2 linked regions of the Ovis aries genome follow. The protein of the gene in region 2 purifies or fractionates together with the protein of the main gene of each other region. This does not show direct contact. Links are inferred from orthologs where the notes say so. Each region holds a gene or a part of one and is shown on either strand. Other genes may lie near its edges.

Region 1 (3,186 bases), on a different chromosome or scaffold from region 2:
GGCCACGTTGTTGCTGAACAAAGGAGCCAAGAATATCTTGGATGTTGCACGGCAGCTCAATGAAGCCCACTAATTGGTCTGTGGGGCACAGGTGCCTGCCTTGCTGGTGTCCAGTGCCTACATCCCAGCCCTCTGCTACCTGAGGAGTGGCTACCCCCACAGGATTGAACTGCAGGGGCAGAGACTTCCAGAGACTTGTCTCACCGAGGGGCCTTGCCTCCCCAGGAGGCAAGGAGGGGGCTTCCTCTCTAGAGAAAAAAAAAATCTTAATAAGAAGCCACAGCCTTTGAATGTAACCAGTTCTACTAATAAACCAAATTTAAAGGTGGTTTTTGTTTTTGGTGGAGCTGCAGAAAAGGAAGGACAAACTCAAAACTCTTTATTTATGCCTGATCTCTGAGGCTAGGACCCTTTCAAAGTTCTCCTGAAAAACGCCTTCTGTCAGTAGTTCCCATTTTTTGACAGAATCGAGTGTCTCCCAGGGAACGCCAAGAAAGCCATCATCTTAATAATCTACAATTTGTCGCTCCAGTTAACAGTAAAGCCTTATATCGGTTCCCCTCCCCCACTACCTTTAGGTATCTACAGAGTCGACTCTACAACCCTTTTGCAAAATGAACACAACTCACTTTTCTTTAGGAAAAAACCCTTTAATAAAATTAGTCCATCTGAAACTCCCCCCAATACCTAAAGTACTAGTTTTGGATGGGTTAGCTGCAAAATTCCAGTTCCGAAGCCAAAGGCGGCTCAGTCCAGACGGGGATTAACGGACTTGTGCTGGTATCTAGGTGCTTGGCAGGCGGAATGGACCCGACGGGAAGGGAGTGGGGAGGAGGGGCGGGCCCGGAGGCAGGGCTCCCGCAGACCCCACGCCGCCAGGACCCGCTAGTATTGGAGACGGTCACGCCGCGAAGGGTTTCTTCCAGTACGCGCACAGGCCTGCGAATGAAGATGGAGGGAACGCGGACGTGCGAGGCCCGAGATCCGGCAACAAAAGGGGTCCTGGGACGAAATGAAGCAACCGATTGACTCCGCCGGCGGCGACAATCGAGTCCTGTACTAAGCACCGAGCTGAAGCAGAGCGCACGGCCTCGGCGGCGACCGTCCGCACCGACTCACCTTCCTCCCGCACTCCCCGGCCCGGCTTTCCGGAAGGTGCCGCGGCCTCCCCGCAGCCCATCGGCATTCTGGGGCCAAGCCGGCCGAGTCACGAGCTCGCTCCCGGGGCCGAGCGGCGTTCGAACGCACGCCCTCCGCCGGGCTTCGGCGGGAGCCAGCCGCGGGGGGGAGGGGCGGGCCGGGAAGGGGCGACAGCGCGGCCGCCAGGCCGGGAGCCCGAAGTGGCCCAGCTCTTTCTGTGAGTGCTGTGGTGGCCCTTAAAAGGGCCTTTGTGGTGTAGAGGGGAGGGCTGGGCGGTGGCGGCACGGGCGCCCTCAGTACTCCTGAGAGGCCTGGGTGGCCTTCTTGCCGCCCGCTGGCGCCTTCGGCCCCACGGTGGCGCTGGTCTTCTTAGGCAGCAGCACGGCCTGGATGTTGGGCAGGACGCCTCCCTGGGCGATCGTCACGCCGCCCAGCAGCTTGTTGAGCTCCTCGTCGTTGCGGATGGCCAGCTGCAGGTGGCGGGGGATTATCCGCGTCTTCTTGTTGTCGCGAGCCGCGTTGCCCGCCAGCTCCAGGATCTCGGCGGTGAGGTACTCGAGTACCGCCGCCAGGTAGACCGGCGCGCCGGCGCCCACCCTCTCGGCGTAGTGGCCCTTCCGCAGCAGCCGGTGCACGCGGCCCACGGGAAACTGGAGGCCTGCTCGCGAAGAGCGCGACTTGGCCTTGGCGCGGGCCTTGCCGCCGGTCTTGCCGCGGCCAGACATGCTGTATGAGGTAGAGGAGCGGTGAGGACGGCTAACAAAACACAGGAACAACCACCCGCCGCAGTCTAACGCTTCCGCGCGCGACCACGGGCTGCCCTTATAAGCCCCTCAGGGCACACCCCCGCGCCTTTCTGATTGGCTCTTTTCTCGAATACCCGCCTCTGGTTGGCTGAGGTTAACTCTTCGGTGACGCGCCCCAGTTGAGGGAACGCGTCCGCCGATTGGCCGAATTTGAAAACCCTTTGCCCGGGGAACACGGGAGGAGGCGCAGAGACTACCCGACAGCCAGCCAGTCTCGGCTGTAGCCAATCCAAGTGAAGCGCGCCAGATTTAAACGCTATAGCCCGAGACCAGAACCGGAAGACAAGAAGGGTAGAATCGGAAGCCACCTCAAGAGCGTCTGGGAAGTCTGCGCAAGGCAGGCCTAAGATTTTTAAAGGAAAAGAGTCAACACCACAACTACCTCTGCCTCCCGTCCTAGGTCTGGTCACTCCCTCCTCCTACCTGGCAAAAGAAGAGTGAAAAAGGGAAGGAATGAGACCCCCACTTAAAGTCCAACCCTACCCCAGAGAACAGATAACCCCAATCTTATGGCCCTTTATGCCACCCAAGCAGCAGATTTCACATTTATTCAACATGTTCTGTCTGGTCTGTTCTTTCTGATCACTTCTTGCTAGGAGGCGCCTGATGTGCTTAAAAAAAAAGAAAGAAAGAAAAAAGGATGGGACAGAGATAGGCATCCTCTCCGAGGAAATACCTCCTTCAACCTTCCCCATCCACCCTACAATGCCCACATAGGAAATATACCTATAGGAACAAGAAGAAAAAGACAATACTTTATTGTCACCACTGGGAGCACCTGGCCCCCGGTCTGCTCTTAATCATCAGAATACTTAATTTATAGTCAAATGTCAAGTCACCTTTGAACCTGTGTCTCTATCCCCAGCCAGGGTTCTGTCCCCAAGTCCAGCATTCTCCTTGAGTGTCAGAGTTGTGGGCAATTGCATAAAAGCTACAGTACCCCAACTTAGGAGGCAGCAAAGATGGGATGGAGAGGGAGAGTGGCAAGCTGAAGAAAGCCATAGGCAAAGTCCAATCACCAGTCATTAGAGAGTGAGACAGGCCCACGTGTCAATAATCACAGGGGAAAGGAAATGCTGAGAACAAAATCTGGAGGAAAATGAAGGGTGGGAGAGGCCTGGGCTAGTTGGCAGTCTTGGTCCAGGAGATGTTGGCCTGAGTCAGTAACCCCGGAGGCTGTGAAGCAAAGGGCAATGGATCGGGGCCTCAGACATCATAGAAGAGTCGGACAAGCTGGTAC
Region 2 (3,646 bases):
TGTCACCCTGCTTATTTAATTTATATGCAGAGTACATTATGGAAATGCTGGGCTGGATGAATCACAAGCTGGAATCAAGATTGCCGGGAGAAACAACCACAACCTCAGATATGCAGATGATACCACTCTAAAAGCAGAAAGCAAAGAGGAACTAAAGAGCCTCTTGATGAGAATGAAAGAGGAGAGTGAAACAGCTGGCTTAAAACTCAACATTCAGAAAACTAAGATCATGGCATCTGGTCCCATCACTTCATGGCAAACAGATGGGGAAAATGTGGAAACAGTGACAGATTTTGTTTTCTTGGGCTCCAGAATCACTGCAGATGGTGACTGCGGCCATGAAATTAAAAGACACTGGGTCCTTGGAAGAAAAGCTACGGCAAACCTAGACACTGTATTAAAAAGCAGAGACGTCACTTTGCCAACAAAGATCCATATAGTCAAAGCTATGGTTTTTCCAGTAGTTGTGTATGGATTTGAGAGTTGGACCATAAAGAAGAATTGATGTTTTTGAACTGTGGTGCTGGAGAAGACTCTTGAGAGTCCCTTGGACTACAAAGAGATCAAACCTGTCAACCCTAAAGGAAATCAATCCTGAATATTCACTGGAAGGACTGATGCTAAAACTCCAATACTTTGCCCACCTGATGATAAGAGCCGACTCATTAAAAAAGACCCTGATGCTGGGAAAGATTAAGGGCAGGAGGAGAAGGGGATGACAGAGGATGAGATGGCTGGATGGCATCACTGACTCAATGGATATGGGTTTGAGCAAATTCTGGGTGAAGGACAGGGAAGCCCGGCGTGCTGCCGTCCATGGGGCCACAAAGAGTTGAACGTGACTTAGTGACCGAACAACAGACCCACATAAATTTATGTAACTATTCCTCTTCCATTCCAGTCCAATGGCTCCACCCTTCAAAGGAACTCCAGGCAATATTCAGTGAAAATCAAACAAGTCAAAAAGCAAGCTTAATCATTACTAGTCATGGCCACAAGAGGGACTGGTACCTTCTTATTATCCACAACTTTATGGACGTAGATGGTGGCTTGAGTGTATTCACGCAGGTCCCTCTGCTGTTGACACAATAAGCCTTCTCGACATTCTGGACAGAGCTCTAAGAAAAAAGGTTTTATTTATTTATTTATTTTAAAAAAGGTAAAAGAGCAGTGGCTGAGGAATCACTACCAAAAGAAGGAAAGATCTAAAGGAACATTTCAAAGTTACCAGAGAGTATTTATCAAACTACTCCTCTTATTTTTTAATGGCTGTATTTTATCATATGCAAATAAGTAAATTTTTACTGTCAAAAAACATACAAGTACAGTCATTATATGATACTTTCCAGCTAAGGAATATAGAATGGACCACCACGAGCTCTTTAAGTAAAGAATACAATACTGACATACTCTTTCCCTCCCAGTTAAAATTGTAACTTTTAACTACATAAACCAAGAGCAATTTGAACACTTACTAGGCTCAGAAATATACTGTGTTTCTGAAGGGCTTGCATCACCTCCTTCAGTTCTCGTGATTTTAATTACATGATCCACGACAAAGAGCTTTTGTATCATTTGCCACTCACTGGGCCATATGAGAGCTATACTGTGCAAAAAAACACAACATGCTTTAAGACACAAGGACATAATCCATCTGTAAACCACAACTATCAAAACCACTATTTAATACAAAAAAATTGAGAAGGGAAAGATACACCAACACGAATGGTAGTTTTTCAAATTAAAGAATGCTATGACTTTCTTTTGTATGAAAAAAAGCAGAGAAACTAAATGTACTGGAGTCACACGAATCAACACGGCTAAACCTCAAAAACCAAAATTGAGCCAAGAAATTAGCTACAGAGGGGAACGACGTAACCTAGAGACACTGCCCTGGGTACTAGCAATTTCTAAGGAGAAAGCGGGGCTCCAGGAAGGAGAGGGGAGAAATAAGAGCAAGTAGCCTCAGGCAGCCTCCTGACTTTTACGGAGAAGCAGTCTTTCTTTTCAGTATATGTGCTGCCAAAGTGAGCACAACAAGCAGTCTTAAAAAAAAAAAGACAAGCCAACCTCTGGTTACACCAGAGGAAATAATCCCACAGCGAGCACAAGAAGCAGCCTTTAGAAAAAAAAGACAAGCCAACCTCTGGTTATACCAGAGGAAATAATCCCACAATTCAAGAAAAGATTGGTTCTTAAAATAGACTGTGTTAGACGAGATGTTTCCTAAACACATTCTATTAACCATCGGAAACAAACATTGCATGAAGAGAAGAAACTCACAGTTTAGAATCTTCTTTGGTCATGGAAGCAAATGTAAACATGAGGCCCCCGTGGGGACACAGGAGAGCGCTGTTTCCAACCGATGACACAGGACTGCACCTGGTAGGTTTCCTACTCAAATGAGCAAAGGACGATCAATATACTTCACTATGGCATGACTGAAGAGAAGATTTTTTATGATTATTTAAAAATTAGAGACATTTTTCATGGATATTAATAACTAAATGTACTTCTAAGGATTATTCATTTAAATTCTCAGGAAAAAAGATTTCAGTATAGGCTGTTATAGTAAAAGGTAAGGTACCATGATTACAATTCATGAATTAAAAATACTGTAATCAAAAATAAAAAAAAGGAAATGGGTAGCCTTTGGAATTTACCTGACAAATTTTCGCCACTCTTCTACAAAGAACTGTGACACAATGTAGAGGACATCTGTTTCCTGGAGCAGAAAAATCAGACCAAAGTATCTCTTAAATTCACTGCATTCTTAACCTAAATCCTATAGAGAAAATGTCTCCATATACTGTGGGTTTTCCCTTTCAAGTCTCATAAATAAAATGGAAATAGAGCCCTCTACCAAGCAACCACGAGCAAGAGTCGAATCCTCCAGATTAGAAAACTATACAAATTTAAGAAACAGAGACAATCTCATTATTCTGAAAGCACTGTTCACTCAGGAACTTGGCAAGGGCCTTACAAAGGTGAGATGGATTCTACCCCTTTGTGGGAATCATGATACCTCCGGCCAGTTACTAAGACACGGTCTGTTTTTGTCCTGGAACAAATTTGGAAGAGAAGTTTTCTGCTCGTTTGCAATCATCTTATGTAAGGCTTCGTTTTCTTCCCCTTCTCTTTCTAGAATCTGAAAGAGAATCAAGCAGGAAGCGATCAGCCATCCCCAGCTGCCAGCACAGGACCTGCCGCCTCCCTGCACCTCCACTCAAAGCGCAGTGCCAGTCCTCCTGGCAAATCAGTCCAGGGAGGAGACCTGTGGCTCCCCAGCTGCCAGGGCCGCGGGCGGCACGTACCTTGCATTGTGAACAGCACTCCCTGGAGCTTGGGAATTCGGGAGCCTTCGGAAAGTACTGCTGCAGTTTGCTCCAAGCCTCTTTAGAAACAAGCCTTCTTTCATTTTCTGATATGCATAATTCGCCTAGGTCAAAAAAAAAGGTGGGGGGGGGGGGAGTTTGGAAAAAATAAGTTAATATATACCCTGCCAAAATCTACTTAATACCAATTGGTAGCGCTTCTTATCCTTCTGTTCCAAAGTGCTGTAATTTTCTCTCTCTCTCCAATTTCAAAATCTCTAAATTTTAAATTTCATCTAATTCTAAAGGAGCTAGCCATTCCTTTGTCCTTA

The links. Proteins that work in one complex are often made in the same cells at the same time.
Region 1: the proteins of USP48 (region 2) and histone H2AX purify together in Homo sapiens (affinity purification with mass spectrometry; 3 studies listed by BioGRID). This does not show direct contact. The link is inferred for Ovis aries from reciprocal best matches to the Homo sapiens genes USP48 and H2AX.

Annotation. Positions count from the first base shown.
Region 1 is NC_056068.1:29,402,700-29,405,885, forward strand, and holds histone H2AX, read right to left. Parts: upstream 1,939-3,186; 5' UTR 1,866-1,938; coding exon 1,434-1,865; 3' UTR 630-1,433; downstream 1-629. Other genes in the region: HMBS (porphobilinogen deaminase), read left to right, coding at 1-17; DPAGT1 (UDP-N-acetylglucosamine--dolichyl-phosphate N-acetylglucosaminephosphotransferase), read right to left, coding at 3,153-3,186. UniProt on the Homo sapiens protein: Variant histone H2A which replaces conventional H2A in a subset of nucleosomes. Nucleosomes wrap and compact DNA into chromatin, limiting DNA accessibility to the cellular machineries which require DNA as a template.
Region 2 is NC_056055.1:244,805,699-244,809,344, reverse strand, and holds part of USP48 (ubiquitin carboxyl-terminal hydrolase 48), read right to left. Parts: intron 3,440-3,646; coding exon 3,315-3,439; intron 3,149-3,314; coding exon 3,026-3,148; intron 2,726-3,025; coding exon 2,664-2,725; intron 2,395-2,663; coding exon 2,284-2,394; intron 1,607-2,283; coding exon 1,476-1,606; intron 1,119-1,475; coding exon 1,012-1,118; intron 1-1,011.